Macaca fascicularis: one gene and its partners. The protein of the gene in region 4 purifies or fractionates together with the protein of the main gene of each other region. This does not show direct contact. Links are inferred from orthologs where the notes say so. Each region holds a gene or a part of one and is shown on either strand. Other genes may lie near its edges. The genes, in order: ANAPC2, ANAPC13, CDC27, ANAPC16 and ANAPC7.

What was found.
Region 1: the proteins of ANAPC16 (region 4) and ANAPC2 purify together in Homo sapiens (co-immunoprecipitation; 5 studies listed by BioGRID and IntAct, with this or other methods). This does not show direct contact. The link is inferred for Macaca fascicularis from reciprocal best matches to the Homo sapiens genes ANAPC16 and ANAPC2.
Region 2: the proteins of ANAPC16 (region 4) and ANAPC13 purify together in Homo sapiens (affinity purification with mass spectrometry; 3 studies listed by BioGRID and IntAct, counting the BioPlex papers as one, with this or other methods). This does not show direct contact. The link is inferred for Macaca fascicularis from reciprocal best matches to the Homo sapiens genes ANAPC16 and ANAPC13.
Region 3: the proteins of ANAPC16 (region 4) and CDC27 purify together in Homo sapiens (affinity purification with mass spectrometry; 10 studies listed by BioGRID and IntAct, with this or other methods). This does not show direct contact. The link is inferred for Macaca fascicularis from reciprocal best matches to the Homo sapiens genes ANAPC16 and CDC27.
Region 5: the proteins of ANAPC16 (region 4) and ANAPC7 purify together in Homo sapiens (affinity purification with mass spectrometry; 6 studies listed by BioGRID and IntAct, with this or other methods). This does not show direct contact. The link is inferred for Macaca fascicularis from reciprocal best matches to the Homo sapiens genes ANAPC16 and ANAPC7.

Annotation. Positions count from the first base shown.
Region 1 is NC_088389.1:2,128,407-2,132,456, reverse strand, and holds the start of ANAPC2 (anaphase-promoting complex subunit 2), read right to left. Parts: upstream 2,801-4,050; 5' UTR 2,758-2,800; coding exon 2,641-2,757; intron 2,329-2,640; coding exon 1,706-2,328; intron 410-1,705; coding exon 277-409; intron 1-276. Other genes in the region: microtubule nucleation factor SSNA1, read left to right, coding at 2,951-3,002, 3,292-3,491, 4,017-4,050. UniProt on the Homo sapiens protein: Together with the RING-H2 protein ANAPC11, constitutes the catalytic component of the anaphase promoting complex/cyclosome (APC/C), a cell cycle-regulated E3 ubiquitin ligase that controls progression through mitosis and the G1 phase of the cell cycle.
Region 2 is NC_088376.1:37,392,893-37,397,071, forward strand, and holds the start of ANAPC13 (anaphase-promoting complex subunit 13), read right to left. Parts: upstream 2,803-4,179; 5' UTR 2,696-2,802; intron 2,666-2,695; coding exon of another isoform or gene 2,332-2,665; exon of another isoform or gene 2,160-2,331; coding exon of another isoform or gene 1,986-2,159; exon of another isoform or gene 1,451-1,985; intron 1-1,450. Other genes in the region: CEP63 (centrosomal protein of 63 kDa), read left to right, coding at 2,332-2,607. UniProt on the Homo sapiens protein: Component of the anaphase promoting complex/cyclosome (APC/C), a cell cycle-regulated E3 ubiquitin ligase that controls progression through mitosis and the G1 phase of the cell cycle.
Region 3 is NC_088390.1:68,162,509-68,166,662, forward strand, and holds the start of CDC27 (cell division cycle protein 27 homolog), read right to left. Parts: upstream 2,812-4,154; 5' UTR 2,689-2,811; coding exon 2,662-2,688; exon of another isoform or gene 2,435-2,661; intron 1-2,434. UniProt on the Homo sapiens protein: Component of the anaphase promoting complex/cyclosome (APC/C), a cell cycle-regulated E3 ubiquitin ligase that controls progression through mitosis and the G1 phase of the cell cycle.
Region 4 is NC_088383.1:74,199,916-74,203,948, reverse strand, and holds the start of ANAPC16 (anaphase-promoting complex subunit 16), read left to right. Parts: upstream 1-1,226; 5' UTR 1,227-1,281; exon of another isoform or gene 1,282-1,506; intron 1,507-3,525; exon of another isoform or gene 3,526-3,817; intron 3,818-4,033. UniProt on the Homo sapiens protein: Component of the anaphase promoting complex/cyclosome (APC/C), a cell cycle-regulated E3 ubiquitin ligase that controls progression through mitosis and the G1 phase of the cell cycle.
Region 5 is NC_088385.1:117,249,530-117,252,472, reverse strand, and holds part of ANAPC7 (anaphase-promoting complex subunit 7), read left to right. Parts: intron 1-773; coding exon 774-998; intron 999-2,638; coding exon 2,639-2,789; intron 2,790-2,943. UniProt on the Homo sapiens protein: Component of the anaphase promoting complex/cyclosome (APC/C), a cell cycle-regulated E3 ubiquitin ligase that controls progression through mitosis and the G1 phase of the cell cycle.

The DNA of each region.
Region 1 (4,050 bases), on a different chromosome or scaffold from region 4:
ACCTGCCTGGGGCAGCCCCTGGGGACCCTGGCCCGGTATTGACTGCAGCCATGGGATTCTGAGCAGATCTGGTGAGCGCACCTCAGATGTGTCCTCGCTGTCACCAGGGCCCAGAAGTACTGGTCTCTACCCGACATCAAAACAGCTCCAGCCACCACCCGGTCCAGGCCAACCCAGGCCTCCACGCTCTGGATGCTTCCAAAGCCAGGTGTCAGGTTTGCCAGAAACCTACTCCCCTGTCCCCAGCGGGGCACAGCCCAAAGGAGGGGCCCTCACCTTGTGGAACTCACGCAGGAAGGAGCGCTCGTACTCGCCTCGGCAACGGTCCTCCATCCTCTCCCGGGTCACCTGGTGTAGGGTGGTGGTCACAGCCTCGGCACTGACCCGCTCCAGCAGACTGAGCCTGTGTCTAGAGGAGAGTCCTAGCCATGGGGCACCCACAGCACACACCGGCCCCTCTAGCCCAGAACAGCCCCATGCCAGGACGGTCCTGCCTGTAGAGTGCATGCAGCACACACACGCACACCCCCACAACCAGCACGCACCTCCCCACAATCCTCAGCTGTGGGGGCCACTGTGCCTGCCAGCCCCGAACCAGGGCCTCTGCGACCCCTGAGGAATTTCCAGGCAGCCATGTCAAGGTCCTCAATCCAACACATTCTCCACTGAACAGCCCTGGGGAGTGTCTGTTCCTTGTCAGGGGAAAGGCCAGGACAGCACAGAGCCACTCTCCTTGCCTGGTTGGCCTGGAGCGCTGGTACCAAAGGCTTCAAGAAGCCACTCGGAGCACAGAGCACTCCCAGGCTCTGCTGTCCCCACCCAGCTGGCCTCTGACCAGGTAGGGACACTGGACTTCCCCATGTGATCAGTGGCAGCAGGTGTGGCTGTCAGGGGCCCTACCCTTATCTCCTAGGATCAACTCTGAAACGACACCCAGTTGCACCGCTGCCCTGGCCCCAGAGACACAGATGCCACTGTTTGTGCCTTTCAGTGCAGTCTGTGGTCTACAGTGGCAAAAAGACTCCAGAGGAGAATGAGAAAGGTTGCTGTGTAACTTTTGCTGGGATGAGCCCAACAGAAGCCCCTCATGGTCACCCTGACCTCTGCCAGCAACAGGACCACTCCTTTAGTCCACCTAAGACCTCTCAAATAGCTGCGTGGCCATACCTCTGTTCAATGTGACAAAGCCACCACAAATGGCCGAGGGTGTGACAATTGCTAGAGGACTACAACAGGACCTGTCTCTCACAACAAAACCCTCTCCTCTCCAGAGAACCAGACAGGAGACCACTTGCCCTCACAGTGACCTGATCTCCCTGGAGAGAAGCAGCAGCAGGCTTCTGTTCACAATTACAGGGCAAGGAATGTCGACGAGGGTGAGAATCATTCCTTGCCTCAGGGTCGACAAAAGTCACAGTGGAATTCTGCAGAGTTCAGAAAGTTTGGAGTCGCTAAGAAATTTGCTGCTGCAGACAAAAGCCACATAGGGCCTTACCATGGGCAAGGCATGAATCCGTGGGACTGCAGGTGAGTGACAGAAGAGAGACACCTGTGTCCAGGACACACTGCACAGGAACCCCAGGGACTCTCTCTCTGTCATGTTCCTGGTTATCAGGACGGCTCACCAGCTTTCTGCAGAGGCCAGCTGGACCCAGGGGAGCAACCAGTAGGAGCGAGAGCACGGCCATCAGGACAGACTACTCACAAGACCTGGCTGAGCTGATGGAACTGCTCCAGAGCCTGGCGACACCAGCACTGTTGCTTGTCACTGCTGCACCCTGCGCACAGCGGGCTCTGCAGGAGCCGGTAGTACCGGCGACGGGCATACCGGCTGTCCAGCTCCCCCTCCAGTTCCGGGTCTGTGCCCCCTTCCCCCTTCCTCTTACTCTGCATATAGACTCTCAAGAAGCACCCATACAGACGCTGGATCATCTCTTGGAAGGTTCTGGGGGTACTAAAGAACAAGACTCCGCGCAACATAGTGTGGACTTTTTCTCGCAGCCCCTGAGCACCAGTGCCCATCAGCAAGCCCAGGCGAGTCCATTTCTCCAGCAGCTCTAGGCTACGCAGGTAGGGATCCAGGCGGCTCTCCAGCAGGCCAAAAGCGTCAAGGAGCAGCAGAAGGCACTGGGGCTCATCCGTAGAGTTCTCGCATTGGGAGATGGCATTCCAGAACTCAGGGGAGATGTTGGCCTGCAGATCGTTCTGCAGCACCTCTACGAACCACTCCTCCAGGACCGAGTGCAGGCCGTGGCCCCTCAGAACCTCCACCGCCGCCCGGAGCTCCTCTTCCTTTGGCGGGACTGCACCGCTGGTCCGGGAAGACACCTGGAGCGCAGAAAACCGTGAAGCGAGGGGAACACAACATAGAGGTGGGGAGAGGCGGGGAAGGGAAGAAGCTGAGGGGTAGGCTGCAAAAACTCCGCTGCCCCCTGTCCGTGGTGTCCGGACGTTGGGCCGAAACTAGGGAAGGGCTGCCAGCGGAGCTGAACGAAATGAAGTGGAATGGCGGTGGAAAGCGGCAGGACAGGGCAGAGGCGGATGACGGACAGAGCTGTATGAACCCGAAGGTGGCCGCCCCAAAGTGCATAGGGTCCCGGAAACTCCGCGCGGGGCCGCCGCTCTCTTCCCAGGCCTCACCAGCCCCAGCGCAGCTGGCGGCACCAGGCCGGTGCTCACGGTATTCCAGGCCACTAACAACTCCTGTCCGGGCCGGGAGTCGCTGTCCCCCTCCGCCACCACAACTGCCGCCGCCATCTGCAGCCACCGGCTCCGAGATCCCCTCGGCACGGCGCAAAGCGATGACGCAAGTCTGCACGCGCAGCCATGACGCGCACAAGGCGCTCAGCGATGACGCGTAGTTCGGCGCGCCGTCAGGGAGTCGTGCGCAGGCGCGGACAGCGCTGGTTCCGCGTCGGTTGGGGTGGCGGGGCCCCGGGCGGCGTAGACCATGACCCAGCAGGGCGCGGCGCTGCAGAACTACAACAACGAGCTGGTCAAGTGTGAGCGGCGCAGCCGGGACGGGGAGGTCGGGAGGGCCGCAGGGCCGGGTTCCCGGCTCGCAGCGGGGTGCCCCTGGACCCGCCTAGTTGCGGGCATCGCGCAGCTGAGCAGAGCCCTCCGTGCCGGGGGCTGGGTGTCCGTGGCCCCGAGCCCTCGTTGGCTCGCAGGCCCCGCGCCGGGTGCTCGGGGGTGGTGCCTGACTCTGGCTTCCTCGGGTGGAAGGAGGCCCGCCCTCCGCCGCCGCGCTCCTGCCCTGGGCCCACAGCCCCGCCCCTCCTGGCCCCCCAGGCATAGAGGAGCTGTGCCAGAAGCGGGAAGAGCTGTGCCGGCAGATCCAGGAGGAGGAGGACGAGAAGCAGCGGCTGCAGAATGAGGTGAGGCAGCTGACGGAGAAGCTGGCCCGCGTCAACGAGAACCTGGCACGCAAGATTGCCTCTCGCAACGAGTTCGACCGGACCATCGCGGAGACGGAGGCCGCCTACCTCAAGGTGGAGCTCGGGAGGCCAGGCGGAGCATCAGGGGATAGCCGCGGCAGGGGTGTAGCCGCGGCAGGGCGTCAGGACCGTCTGGGGCTCCCAGCTGTGGGCAGTCTGTGCCTCGCTGACATGTCGGGCAGGAGCAGCGTGGCCAGGCCCATTGAGGAACCCAGGCTGCTGCGGGAGTGACCGTGGGGCTGTCTGGGGGACCTGGGGCATCCTGGGTCCTGGTCTTCATCCGGTTCTCGCTAGCCATGTGGTTCTTTCTGCTTAGAGTGTGAAGAGCCACGTCTTGGGCCAGTGCTAACCCAGCCTGGCTTTGAGGGTGGGGAGGAAGTGTTCTGGGTCAGATTCAGGAGGGAAGAGGGCCCTGTTACCCCGTCTGCCAGTCCCCTTGGGCTTCCGCCTTCCCCCGCACAGGATCCCTTGGCTACAGCACCCACAGCCAGGTCCCAGAACCTGAGTGTGAGGACAGCTGGGGCTTAGGAACTTCCCAGCAGGTGAACAGTAACAACTTCCTCACTTCTCTGGCCCCAGATTCTGGAGAGCTCCCAGACTTTGCTCAGCGTCC
Region 2 (4,179 bases), on a different chromosome or scaffold from region 4:
GCGGGGTGGAACCCACCATCTTGAGGTGCTTTTTTCAGAGCTCAGCCTGGGTGCTATTTTAAGGAAGGAAGCCTTTTCCTTTACAAGGTCAACTTCAGACATCGTCTTGCCTTGAGGATTTGTGTCAGGTCTGTAGTTGGTCCCTTCCCATAGTCCATTTTAGTGTTATCTCAGTATGTTCATGAGCTCCTGTGCCTAAGAATGCTGAGGTTTGGGCCAAGGCAGGTGGAAGTTTTTGTAAAAATGGCTCACATGGCCGGGCGCGGTGGCTCACGCCTGTAATCCCAGCACTTTGGGAGGCCGAGGTGGGCGGATCACGAGGTCAGGAGATCGAGACTATCCTGGCTAACACGGTGAAACCCCGTCTCTACTAAAAACACAAAAAATTAGCCGGGCGTGGTGGCAGGCACCTGTAGTCCCAGCTATTCGGGAGGCTGAGGCAGGAGAATGGCATGAACCCGGGAGGCGGAGCTTGCAATGAGCCGAGATCTGGCCACTGCACTCCAGCCTGGGTGACAGAGCAAGACTCCGTCTCAAAAAAAAAAAAAAAAAAAAAAGACTTGGTCTCAAAAAAAAAAAAAAAAAAAAGGCTCACAGATGTCCCCCATAGGATAACTGCAAGATATCCCCAACACCTTGGCAAAAATTATACACAGATTGGTGTGTAGGAAAGGGTTTAAAAGATCTGGGCAAAACTTAAGCAAAACGCGCCCTGCTACTTGTCACCGGTGAGCCAGGTGAGGGCTTAATTAATCCAGTACTCAATAATTAACCCCCTACTACCCAGTGGATAACTCAAAGCAAGACGAAGTTTTGGTTATACTTTTGAAGTCCCTGTCTTATAAGAGCTCCCCACTTTCCTGCTGCTACTCCTTTGTCCTTGCTGCTGTGTCTCCTGGGATACCCTTTTCACTTTCCTCAGCTGATCCAAACCTGACTTTCCCAGGCCCACATAGGTTTTCCACCTTTTAGTAAGGTTTTCTCAGATCACTCGAGCTTCAGTAGGCCTTCTATCCTTGAACTCTTGCTTCTTGTCCTAACTTAAATCTACTAAACAAGCTTTGTGATCAATTGCTCAGGTATTATTGTCTCCAACTGTTATGTGTACATTTTGTACCCAGGATTCCTTAGTAGATCTTTCTACAATTTGGCCTCAATCTTTTTCACCTGTCCCTTCTCCAAACACCTCAAACCCTGTCACATTTTCCAGCCTTGACAGTTAAAACCCCCCTTTCCACATCACTAATGCCACTCTTCCTTTCAAGATCAACGCAGGCGTCAGCTCTTGGAGGTCAACATCCCATTTCCGGGGTTAGGCGTGAAGGTGCCTTCACTCTTAAGGGGCTGGAAGGATGGAAAGCAACAAGATAATCAACGCCCAAGGCACAGCCACCGTCCCAAGTACTCGTCACACAATACGACAACTGTTTCCTGAACAAACTTTTCTTACACGTGACAGTCCCGATGCCTGCAATGCTGTTTGTTTCTTCCTTTTTATTCCAGCGAACCCATAGTCAGTCTAAAAATCTCAGGTCTCAAGTCGCTTCCTGCAGGAGGCCGCCTCCAAACCTCAGGCTGAGCGCGGTCCCGGTACCCACCGGGGATCTCATAGTTCCCTAAGCACAGAGCATGGCACCAACTAGGTAGCCTGTCAAACAGCCCAGATGTATGTCTTTCCAGACACGCAGTGCCTGCGTTTCCCGGGACAGGGACATGTCTTATCCATTTCTATACATTATAGCTTTGTAAACATGTATCTGTAAGGTCAAAGCGGGAAAAATATTGTTCCTTGCTAGAAATGAGCCTCGCAGGCCACCACACTGTACGAGAGGCCGCCCCTCAGCCGCGGCTTCCGGCCTGACGCAGGATGTACCAAACGTGGAAGCGGAGACGGGGAGGTCTGGGGTGCCAAGCAAGTCCCTTTCCTCCCGACACAGCGTGCAGTAAAGAAAACGGTTATGAGCGTAAAGTGACAGCCTCGGCCGATGGAAATAGGGGGAAGTCCGACACTGAGCCACGAACGCATTCCCGCGCCTCCAAAACCTAGGCCGGGGGCGCTGCAAACCCTTACCGTTACGCGGCCCAGCGCGGCAGACGCTTCCTCCTGCCTCGCACCGCATCACGCGTCTGCACGCTCTTTCTCGGATTCCCGGATGTGGGTGAGTCCATTTGCTCGCGTGCAGGGGAAGTCTGGAGCAGACATTGATTCAATTATTAAAAGTGTGGGGGCAGTGGGCGGAACGAACGCTCCGACTGCTGAGGCTGGACGTAAGCTTAGTGGTGGCGCGCGTGCGCAGTGCACGGCCGAGGTAACGGCGGGAAGGCTGAGGGATGCGCTTGCTGCAGCCGTGTAACCGCCCGTGCGCAAGACGGAAGCGCAAGGGGCGAGCGCGTCCTGGTCCGGAGGCGGCCCAGGCTGCCTTGGTGACTCTGGCTTCGCGGCCTCATGGCTTGCGGCCGGTTCGCGCAACAGTCTGCGAACCACCAGGCGCCTCCCCGCCGGCTCGCGTCCGCCCCGGAGCCCCGTCCCTCGGCCTGGCCCGCTATGCCCTGCACACCGGCGTAGTCCGGCATGGCGCAGCCCGGCGCGCGGTTCGGCCCCGCCAGGTGGTCACAGCGTTTCCTCGGAGGCCGGGTGGCTGGGGGCGCTTCGGAGAGTAGCCAGGTGGGCGGGCGAGCTGCGCCCAGTACTCACCTTTCCCGGCGGACCCACCTTTCTTTTCAGCGGAGGTACCCCTGTGCGGCCTCCCGGCCAGGGCTGCTGTTTAGCTAGCGCTGTTAGGACTACTTCATTCACGGCACAAGGGGACCCGCTCATTTAGGGTGGCATGTTAAGGTTGGCAGCTTTTAAAATAGTGAGTTGGTGTAAACGGTTATGTTTAGTACAGCAGGTACGGAATTATGGCAGAAATCGTGGACTGAAATTGGAGAACCCTGAACTAACTGCTCCATGCACACAGATCAGGGATAGAAAGAAACAAGGACGGTTTCTTAGGAACACTTTAATCATGGAGATACTTGAAGACAGTACATTTAGGCTTATAATGTGGTTTTTTTTATGTCGTATACGACATCAGGAGAGTAAAGATGTGTATGATGTCAGAGACTAGTCATCTTGTATAGTTTAAGCACCGTACACTAATATGCACAAAGTAGTTTTCCCTGAGCTTTATGTCCGGTTAAACTTATTAAAAGAATTTATTCTTTTATAAAGCAGTATTGTAGGGTAGATGCTCTGTATTTATACAGTTCCTCACGTGCTTGCGTTTATTTTTTAGGTAAGAGAAAATCAAGGATCGTTGATTAGATTTCTGTTAGCTGTAGCTTAATAGTAAAACAAAGTATATATATTTTCTTATTTGGAATGCAGTACTATTTTTAGATTAATTTTTGAGATTGCCTTTTGACTGTGGCATGATCAGTGATCAGGGTAGTAAAAAAGGCTCTGAAACTAAAATGGGGTAGAGATTTATAAACAGGCACACTGCCTTTTAAAATGTATGTAGATGCAACTCTAAAAGTTGTTTGTAAAAATTGTATATGTTGATTGTACTGATGCCATTTTCTCTCTTTAAAAGGTGGAATGCCTTTGCTTAGTCCTTTCTGTTCTAATTTACGTTGTGCTGGCAGATGGTGACAGCATCAGTAGTCCACTCTGTCATTGCTTCCTGCTTTCAAAAAATGTCAACTTGATTTGGAATTCAGCTAAAGCCAACATTGACACAAGGTTTCAGGAACTGAATTTCCGATCTTTATGTTATTTTAGTCCCCTGCCCGCCCCCGTCAGGAGCTAGGTCTTTCAGTTTTGCAAAGCCACACTACTGTCATTACACATACACAAATTAATGAAAATTCTCTAATGTCAATGTCCAGTCAGATTACGATTTCTTCAACTCTCTCTTAAATGTCTTTTTTGCAGTTAGCTTGTTTGAACCAAAATCCCACAGGGATCTGCCTGTTGTGTTTGGGTGATGCATATTTGACATCTTTTAATCTATAGCAGTTCCCTCATAGCTATAGCTATGGGATTAGCCCCTATTTTTCCTTACAGTTCTAAATTTAGCAGATTACATTGCACAGTATCCTTTAACAGGTATCTCTGTTGCCTTTATGGCTTCTAAACCAGGGGCCCCCAAACCCGGGGCTGCAGAGCACTACCAGTCCGTGGCCTGTTAGGAA
Region 3 (4,154 bases), on a different chromosome or scaffold from region 4:
ATCTCTTTGCTTCTTTTTAAAAAACCAATTTCATCAGATGACTTTTCCAAAAAGCTCTCACTGAAGTCACTTAGCCTAGTGTGTCTTTCCAAATAGTTACTATTAAAAATAAAGGAACTGACAGAACTTCTGCCTCATATTTGAGACTTTTATAAGGACTCAAATATAAAGTAATACTCTTCTGAGAAGTGGTAATTTGAGATGGAGTTTTAATTTAGGCATATATGGTATATCAGCCTGGCCATTCTACGTTAAAACTTTAAAGAAAAAAAAATGCAGAAAACAGTTGTTCATCTTTTCTGTGAACTTCTTCCTATGCCTAGTAATACCATCAACTCTGAGGCATTCCAAGAAAGAACAATTTTCCAACTTACTCTCACTGCTTTCCAAATACATGCAATCAGTCATCATAGTTTTTTGTTTTTGTTTTTTTTTAAATAAAGACAGTATCTTATGTGTCTGTCCTATTTTTATTCTCTTCCTAATTCTTTCCCATTTGCAGCACTATCCCTGATCATTGATCTTTATCATTGTAGTTAAAGTTGCTTGTTCTTCTCACTGCTCCAAATCCCTTCTTGAATGGCTTCTTCTTATACTATACAACCAAAATTTTTACCTAGTTATATCCTAAAACTTTCTACCACTATCTCAAAAATCTAATGGACAATGCTAGTATGAAAAAGAAGCAAATTTGACATTTAAGCCTTAAAAATATTGAAGTGTGTTACTGCTAAGAGTACTTTAAGGGCAAATAGGAAACCTAATGGGTACTATCTAGAAATAGGATACATATTCCTTTTCTTTTCCATGCTTTTATTATTTATTTATTTATTTATTTATTTTGAGACGGAGTCTCACTCTGTCACCCAGGCTGGAGAGAAGCGGGACCATGTCAGCTCACTGCAACCTCCATCTCCTGGGTTCAGGCAATTCTCCTGCCTCAGCCTGCCGAGTAGCTGGGATTACAGGCGCCCACCACCACGCCCGGCTCATTTTTTAATATTTTTAGTAGAGACGGGGTTTCCCCGTGTTGGCCAGGCAGGTCTTGAACTCCTGACCTCAGGTGATCCACCCACCTCGGCCTCCCAAAACGTTGGGATTACAGGTGTAAACCACCGCGCCCGGCCTTCCATGCTTTTATAAAGTCTGAAATTATTATTAAATGGTGGTTATCGTCTATCAGTGCAACTAGTTTATCACTTTAGAAGACTTCTGGGGCCAGAGAAGGCAAAAAAAAAAAAAAAAAAAAAAAAAAATCATTATTAAAACAAAATTACAAGAATATGCAACAGAAATTAAATAACTTGAGTAATCTGCTTATCTATTTAAGTTCATGTTAGGCCTTAAAAAATTATATAATTACCTCATCTACAGCCAGAATAAAAAAAAGCCTTAAAAGAAACTATGCTGGTAAAAAGAAATAGCTCTAGAAAAACCGATACAACTTACAGACAGGAAAATTTCATAAGATACAATCTTAACGTTTTATTAATTCAAACACTAATAGCTGCTATATGTAAACAGCTGGAGAAGAAGCCAAACTAGAAGAAATGAGTATTTCATGCTGTTTAGAAAAATGAAATAAATATGAAAGCAGTGACATAATAAAATATTTACTATTTGATACCTCAAGCCTTTTAAGGGCAATATGAAGGAATTTCTAAAAATCGGTTTGCTTTATAACTTCAAAATAAAGTCCAAGACTCAATGACAGTGGTTGATAGAAGTCAATTCTGATCAAGTCAAAGATCACATGGTGGGAGGAAGTCTCCCAGACCTGGTCCATTACCAAGGCACAAAAGATTCAGTTTCTCCAGATGTCAGAGGGGAAAATGACTTGGCACTGCATCACAGACTTAAAATCCAATAGGGTTCCTTTAATGCAACACAGCACTGTGCGTCAAAGCATACCTTGGTGTAAGGGCAGTGAAACAGACACAAACACCACTATTTGTCTTTCATTTCCTGAATGCCTTATAAACATGCACAACAAAATGCTCCTGATCCCCATCAGAGAGGATGAAAACAACCCAGATATGCCCTTTCCACCTCCTCCCCTGGTATTGGTGCTTGCACCTCAGCACTGAGGCTTGGAGTTGTCTTCTCAAACCATCATTGTCCGGTGGGAAATTCACCGAGAAAGGAAACGTGGGAGAGGAAGTCTGTTACCAAAATAGAAATTAGTATTAAAGATACCGATCCTACTCTCCCTCCACTCTCTCACATAAGACAAAAATAAAAAAACCTCCGCAAACTTGCCCTACCATCGCGAAGATCATACAAGCTCCGATCAAATGTGCTTCTCGATCATCTTTTAGGCAAGAGAGCGCCTGGGGTGCGTTTTCGGCCCCTCATCTCCCAACCCCAGTCAAGCCAGGCCCCTGGGCTGACAGGAAGGGCTGGCCGGACGTTGGCTCGGACGGGAAAGACGGTTATTCTCGCCGAAGCCGCTCACACTAAGGGTGAAGTAACGTAGGGCCAGAGGTAACACGGCTTAGGCTGCGGGCAAGGCCTCCGAACTGACGGAAGATAGGCAGGACTCGGCAGCAAGGGAGGCGGTAGAAGCAGCCGGGCCTAGGCCGCACCAGGCCGCGGAGTGGCCCTACGCTGCTTCCCGACTGAGGCTGCAAGCCAAGCCTCAGAGAAGAGGGTTATCATTACCTGAACGGGTTCCTGCAGCACCGTCATCCTCGAGGCTTAGGCCCACTTTCTGCAGTGCCTCAGGCCCCCCCGGTAGCGGCTCCGGCCCGGCCAGCCCCGGCTCATTTAAACTCACCAGCGACCGTTACCGGGGAATGGGGGAGGCCGAGCGATTGCCGAGTGCTTCCGAGCGGGACACGGAAATTCCCGAAGTGGAGAAAGCCGAGCGGGAGCCAGACGGAAAAGCCCGAAAGGGGTCGGAAATACCCGAGGTGGGTCGACGAGAGAGAAAAATCGTTGCCGGAAATTGTCGAAGATTCCCGGAAACTACCGAGTCTAACCCAAAGCGTAGGTTTTCTTCTCAGCCACGCCTTCAGTCACGCACACCACGCCCAATCGGCCGTCCCAGGGCTGGGCCACGCCCAATCGGCAACCAGCAGGCTGGGCGTGGCGTGACTGAGCGGCCCGGGAGCGTTACGTGGCGGGGCTGCAGGGTGGATTCGCCACTCAGCCCTTCTGGGTTAATTGATGTGCTGTAGATTATAAAGCAAAGGGTGAAACAGCAGAGTTTGGGGCAGACTTTAATGAATCAACAAGTATTTGTCTATTGAGTTTAGATCATTCGTCCTTTCCAGAAGTATCTACTCACGGCTCTGGGGAAAGCTAAAGAAATTTGGAAAGATTGCCACTCCAAAGATATTAGGATAGCTTCTGTCCTCAAGGAGGTTAAGGTCTATTTAAGGGAAAAGCAGTGTAACAGAGAACGCTATATTATGTGGTGCCTATTATAAGTAATATAAAAATTCAGAGAGGGAAATTGTGTTAAGATGAGGAAAGTTTTATGGAAGGAAAAAAAAGTTTAAACTGGAGTTTGAAGGATGGGTAGAATCAGAGGAAAAATAAGTATAGGAAAGTGAAGGAAGGAAAAATGAGATCAGCCTGCTGAGAAGGCATTAATTGGAAATAGTTACTTAGGTGAAGAGATCATGGAAAAACTCAATAGGCCGTTAGAAATTTTTATTTTTGACAGGCGAGGCATTCCACTGTGGTGGGAAGAGTAGGGGGTAGGAAATTCAGAGGCCTGATTTTGAATTGTATCTTTAGCACTAACTAGTCATAGGTCCTTGGCAAATTACAACCTCTCTGAACTTGTGTTTGCTTAGTTTGAAAAAAAAGGATTAAGGGAATTTGATGTATTACAAGTGTGGCTGTGTCTAGCACGCAATGTAGACTCTCTTGTATTTCCTTTCTGCTCTTCCTCTCCTCCGAAGGAGAGTGAACTAGGGAACTGTTTAAATTTTGTTTTTCAGCAGAAGAGAAAAACGGTTTTTGAAGGTTACTCTTCTAGTCAGGAGTTCTCTAGGCTAGATGTGAGACTCATGATATATTCCATTGCTTGGAAATTTCCCTTTGGGTGATGTTGGAGGGAGATATTTTTTCTTCCATTTTTAAAAACAAGGCTGACAGAGCTACACTGCATCTTTTTCCACCGCCTTCTCTTGTCACTGTATATG
Region 4 (4,033 bases):
TTGCCTGTCAAAGCAGTAAATTAATAACAACTTAACCAATATGGTTCTCAGACCAATATACTGCTGAGGGGAGGAATCCAGTTTCTACAGGCCACTGCCCAACAAAATGCACATCACTCACTGAGAAGCCAAGCTTCTGGTCACACCACTTAATGGATCCATAATTTAGGAAACAAAGGTTCCTTATAGGCTAGCTGAAGTTAAATTCAGCCAGTATTCCTACCACGTACAGCTTAGTCTTGAAGCCCAAAATACTGAAGAGTTCCAAAGAAAACAAGTTGATCCTTACTAAATACACTAACGCTCAAGCCAACGTGGACGCGGTGGCTCACGTCTGTAATCCCAGCACTTTGGGAGGCCGAGGTGGGTGGATCATCTGAGGTCAGGAGTTCAACACCAGCCTGGCCAAGATGGTGAAACCCGTCTCTACTGAAAATACAAAAAGTAGCCGGGCTTGGTGGCGGGCGCCTGTAATCCCAGCTACTCGGAAGGCTGATGTGGCACGAGAATCGCTTAAGCCTGAGAGGCGGAGGTTGCAGTGAGCTGAGATCGCGCCACTGCACTCCAGCCTGGGTGACAGAGCGAGACTTCGTCTCAAAAAAATAAATAAAATAAAATAATAATTGATTATTTGTGTGCTTACAGGACCAAGAAGAGGTTTTGTGAGAAATAACAACATAGAAGGTAAACCGACATGGATAGAGGAAAAGAGCACATCATTAGCAATAGTCGATGACATCACAACCCAGTGGTCTATTCCCTGAGGCCTCTAAAGTTCTCAATGAAAAAACACTTTCAAGGCGAAAGCTAAAAAAAAAAAAAGTTCCCCACAAAAGCAGACTAAGGTGAAAGTCGGGCCCTCAGAACAAGAGCTCCGGAAAAACAGGTAGTCGTCGCGGAGACAGCAAACGCAGCATCTACCTGTCCTACATGGCCCTGCGCTACGAGACTGCTCGGAAGGAAAGGCGGGAATAACCAACTTAACCCTGCTTCGAGGTGGTTTGGAGAGGAAGAGGAAAGCCGTGTCTTTCTGCAATATCGTGAGGGAAGCCGAGACCCCGAATCATCAAAGAGAAGGAGCAGAAGAGGACTAGGCGGCTGCAGGTAAACCAAGGTACGGCGAGGAGGCAAAGGAACCGGAATTCCTCTCCACGAGCGCGTTCTCGGCTCCCCTCCTCGCGTCTCCGCCCCGGCCACGCCCACCACGGCACGGGCGCGCGCACGCCGCCTTCGCCGCAGGCCCCTCCGTGGAGGCGCGAGCACGCCGCCGTCCTCGTCGTGGTGAGCGTGACCGCTCCGGCTGGTCCTGGGGGCGGGGCTGTAGGGGAAAGTGCTAAAGCCGCTGAGGTAAGAGGCCGAGGGCTGAAGGGCCCTGGGGAGCTTGGTGAAAAGGGAGTTAACCCTTAGGATCCTACCTGCAGGGACTAGAAAAATGGAGAAGGTAGGAGGAGAAACAGGAGACTGCTGTAGCAGACGTGCGACAGGAAATTTTCCCAGGCCGGGTTTGACTGAGTGCGCATGCGGGCCAAGGGGTGGCGCCTGCGCAGTGGGACAGCGCCGATGGCGTCGTTTCCTGTGGACCCAGCTGGGTGGGAAATGTGGCTAGGAGTTAGCTTGGGAGCCGCTGGTGTTCTGACCGCTCCCCTCTCTGGCCACTCTCTCTCCACGCCCACCCCACCCCCGGTTACAGCTGCGGCGTCTGTTTGGTTTGGGTTGTAATCCAGCTGTTTTGAAGTGGAACGATTTTTTGATGATGGAATTTAATGATTGCTTGTAATGATTTGCCTTTGTACTAGGGTAGGAACTTTTAAGGAATTACTCTTTTTAAGAAAATAGGCATATGTCTGTTAGAAAGGAAAGGAATTTATATTCATAAAACTATGAAGGCCGGGCGCGGTGGCCCACGCCTGTAATCCCAGCACTTTGGGAGGCCGAGGCTGGCGGATCACGAGGTCAGGAGATCGAGGCCATACTGGCTAACACGGGGTTTCACCGTGTTAAATACAAAACAAAATTAGCTGGGCGTGGTGGCAGGCGCCTGTAGTCCCAGCTACTGGGGAGGCTGAGGCAGGAGAATGGCGTGAACCCGGGAGGCGGAGCTGGCAGTGAGCCGAGATTGTGCCACTGCATTCTGGCCTGGGCGACAGAGGGAGACTCCGTCTCAAAAAAAAAAAAACTATGAATGCGAGGTCATCCCTGCCGTACATGAAGTAAATGTTTAAGCATCTTAGCTCGGACACAGCAATCTGTCCACAAAGCATCGTTACTCTCCTGTGAGGATCTCCACTGTCAGCCCCAACTTCCCTGACAGGGCCAAATCCCAGGATACTTCATCAGTATTTGTTCAACAGAACATTACTGAGCACCTCCGGTGGGCCTCTCAGACTAGTTGAAAATAGAGTTGTGCGAATAGATCTGCACAATGAGAAAAAAAATCCGTAATGAACCAATACTGATGACACCACGCTTGTCTATCTCCTGCATAACCTTTGCTGAGCCCTGCGTTCTGTCATTTGTTCTTCATTCATTCATCCGAAATGCTCAGGAAGCACTGTGGAAACACTGTGACCCAGGTTCTGTGCTCGGCATTGAGGGTAGAAAGACTTCGAAGGTGGCAGGATGTTTCTTAAGATCATGAACCTTAAAATGAAAGTGTAGGCCGGGCGCAGTGGCTCACACCTGTAATCCCAGCACTTTGGGAGGCCGAGGCGGGCCTGATCACGAGGTCGGGAGATCAAGATTTTCCTGGCTAACATGGTGAAACCCCGTTTCTACTTAAAAAAAATACAAAAAATTAGCCGGGAGTGGTGGCGGGCGCCTGTAGTCCCAGCAACTCGGGAGGCTGAGACGGGAGAATGGCGTGAACCCGGGAAGCAGAGCTTGCTGTGAGCCGAGATCGCACCACTGCACTCCAGCCTGGAGTGCTTAATAGAAGCACTTAATAGAGCGAGACTCCGTCTCAAAAAAAATAAATAAATAAAAATGAAAGTGTAAAGTGCTTAATAGAAGGTATTGGCCCTCCTCCTGAGCAGATTCTTTCCCCTCTGGGAGCTTGCTAACTCTGTTAGATGGAGAGAATTAAGACTTTTTCCATGAATTTTTTTCATAGTAAGTATGAAAAACTGGGATCTGCATAGGAAAAAACACTCAGGAGTAACTCTCCGTTAATGATTTTGAACAGCCAAGATTTATGAAGTGTTTACTAAGCCTGTAACCATTCCAAGTGTTTTACGTGTATTAATTAATCTTTGTCACACCTGTGTGAGGTAGGTGATGTTATTACAGGTTGAGTATCCTTAATCTAGAAATCCAAAATCCTCCAAAATTTAAAACTTGAGCACTGACGGGATGGTCAAAGGAAGTGCTTTTTGGAGCATTTTGAATTTTAGATTTTCGGATTTGGGAGGCTTAATCGTTACGTATAATGCAAATATCCCAAAACCTGGGAAAAAATCCGAAATCCAAAATACCTCCAGTCCCAAGCATTTGGGATGAAGGGTACTCAACCTGTTTCCCGTTTTGCAGATAAGACAACCAAGGAACAAAAAGATCCCGAAGTGGGAGGCGGACGCGGAGGTTGCGGTGAGCCAAGATCGTGCCGTTGCACTCCAGCCTGGGCAACAAGAGCGAAACTCCATCTCAAAAAAAAAAAAAAAAAAAAAAAAAAACAGAAGTTGCAATTTTTTACATTTTTGCCATCAGACCTTGGCAATGACCTTGAGCAGTACGATATAAATAACTCCCACATGCTTAGCGTTCCAATAATGGAACACTAGGCATAAATGGGTGAAATGATTTGTCCACAGTCTTGCAGCAAGTAAGTAGCAAAACCAGAACTCAGAGAGGCTTCATAATCTTACCCACTATGCTGCTTTACCTTGCACATGACAAATGACATGCCAACAAGCCATTGCTTCAGAATGTCACAGCAGATAAGCTAAAATTGTCTCTACACCTCAGTTTTATTTTTTCATGTATAAAATGAGGAAGTTGGGTTAGATGACTTTTAAGGAATCTGGTTTCTGTGAAATGT
Region 5 (2,943 bases), on a different chromosome or scaffold from region 4:
TCTAGGAGCCAGGCCAGGCACGGTGGCTCATACCTGTAATCCCAGCACTTTGGGAGGCCAAGCTAGGCGGATCACCTGAGGTCAGGAGTTCGAGACCAGCCTGACCAACATGGAGAAACCCCGTCTCTACTAAAAATACAAAACTAGCCGGGCATGGTGGCGCATGCCTGTAATCCCAGCTACCCGGGAGGCTGAGGGAGGAGAATCACTTGAACCCGGGAGGCGGAGGTTGCAGTGAGTGGAGATGGTGCCATTGCACTCCAGCCTGGGCAACAAGAGCGAAACTCCATCTCAAAAAAAAAAGACCCTAGGAGCCTTCCATCTTAAACCTAGCCCTGCAGGTGACCGAATGCAGCTGGAGAATAACAGCTTGTTAAGAGGCAGCAAAACCTTGGGTTTTGTTGGGAACATCATCTCTCACTACTTTGATCTCTTGGCCATATGACAAACTAATCATTAGTGTCGCATTTATTCTTCCAGCGGTCAGATGGGGTGCTCACATGCTGTGAGTTCCTTACATGTGCTTGTTTCCTTCCCTAAACTGAAGGTGCCTTTGAAGGCAGTCTTTTTCCACATCCATCAAGTGCTCTGGGGAAGAGCACTTCTTAGCTATTCCATCAACACACTTGCCTGTCTAATCCCACCATCAGTTTCCCCTGGCCTGCCGTTCGTCTGAAACTTTGAAGGTTAGCAATTTGGAGAGCTGTCAGAGTGGAAGCATGGGTTGAAGTGGTAATGGCATTGAATGTCTTAATGTGTTTTACTTTTTTCAGGTCTTATCGAGTGTTACTTAGCCTCCAACAGTATTCGAGAAGCAATGGTAATGGCTAACAACGTTTACAAAACTCTGGGAGCAAATGCACAGACCCTTACCCTTTTAGCCACCGTTTGTCTTGAAGACCCAGTGACACAGGAGAAAGCCAAAACGTTATTAGATAAAGCCCTGACCCAAAGGCCAGATTACATTAAGGCTGTGGTGAAAAAAGCAGAACTGCTTAGTAAGTGTGTCTTATTTTCTGCCCTATTCATCATTAATTTTTATGAAACCTGACCTCATTGGACACCCTTGTCCCAGCTAGTTACAGATGACCAGACAGGTGTGTGTGTTTTGCAGCAGGTCTGAGCCTGCTTGGATTGGTTTATATTTAGCCCAACCAAATGTAGCTGGCTTAGACCTGCTTGGCTTGGCTGTAGCCACCTATAATTGGTTGGTATCTGTTTGGCTCACTTTTTTTTTATTTTTTATTATTATTTTTTTTTTTTTTGAGATGGAGTCTCACGCTATTGCCCAGGCTGGAGTGCAGTGGCGCGATCTCGGCTTACTGCAAGCTCCGCCTCCTGGGTTCACGCCATTCTCCTGCCTCAGCCTCCTGAGTAGCTAGGACTACAGGCACCCGCCACCGCGCCCGGCTAATTTTTTGTATTTTTAGTAGAGACGGGGTTTCACTGTGGTCTCGATCTCCTGACCTTGTGATCCGCCCGCCTCGGCCTCCCAAAGTGCTGGGATTACAGGCTTGAGCCACCGCGCCCGGCCTTTTTTTTTTTTTTTTTTTTTTTTTTTTTTTTTTTTCTTTTTTTTTTTTTGAGACGACCTCTTGCTCTATCACCCAGGCTGGAGTGCAGTGGCGCAATCTCAGCCCACAGCAACTTCCGCCTCCCAGGTTCAAGCGATTTTTCTGCCTCAGCCTCCTGAGTAGCTGGGTCTACAGCCATGCACTACCACACCCAGCTAATTTTTTTTCTTTTTTTTTTAGTAGAGACAGGGTTTCACCATATTGGCCAGGCTGGTTTCGAACTCCTGACCTCGTGATCCACCCATCTCGGCCTCCCAAAGTGGTGGGATTACAGGCGTGAGCCGCTGCGTCCAGCCTTGGCTCACTGTTATCTGGTTTGAGTTGTCCTGAATTAGTTTGAGCTGAATCTAACTAACTGGTTTTAGCCAGTTTGAACTGTTTGGTGCTATCTGAATTATTTTATGACTTCTCATTTGGCCCTGTTTTTTTTTTTTTTTTTTTTCAGTCCTGATTTATGATGAACTCATAATTTGGTTCATTGAATTTGGGCTAGTTGGCAAATGCAATTTGGCTTTTTAAAGTTAAGAGCCCATTAAGGCCGGGCGCGGTGGCTCAAGCCTGTAATCCCAGCACTTTGGGAGGCCGAGGCGGGCGGATCACGAGGTCAGGAGATCGAGACCATCCTGGCTAACACGGTGAAACCCCGTCTCTACTAAAAATACAAAAAACTAGCCGGGCGCGGTGGCGGGCGCCTGTAGTCCCAGCTACTCGGAGGCTGAGGCAGGAGAATGGCGTAAACCCGGGAGGCGGAGCTTGCAGTGAGCTGAGATCCGGCCACTGCGCTCCAGCCTGGGTGACAGAGCAAGACTCCGTCTCAAAAAAAAAATAAAAAAAATAAAGTTAAGAGCCCATTTAAAACATTGTAATTCAAACTGCAGATTTCTTAACTGAATAGGACATCAGGTGTGCTTGCCCTCGCTTTGTGTTGCACCGGTGTTATCTTGAGGATGTCTGCAAAGAGATTGTCAGAATGGTAGTTGTGTTTTTTTTGTACGTGACTTAAGATGGGAATATATTTTCAAAATGTTCAAGTAGGACAGTGAGGGTCTTTTTTATTCCACCAGGCAGAGAACAGAAATATGAAGATGGAATTGCTTTGCTGAGGAACGCACTGGCTAATCAGAGTGACTGTGTCCTGCATCGGATCCTAGGAGATTTCCTTGTAGCTGTCAATGAGTATCAGGAGGCAATGGACCAGTATAGTATAGCACTAAGGTAGGCACTAGCCTCCCTTGGGGGAAGGCCACTGAGGAGGGTAGAGGAGGCAGTGAGCTGCGTCACAGGAGTTATGGAGTTATGGAAACACACACACACTTTGTGTCCATGGTTGAAAGCAGAATAATAATAGTAATGGTAGAGGAGTTATTTG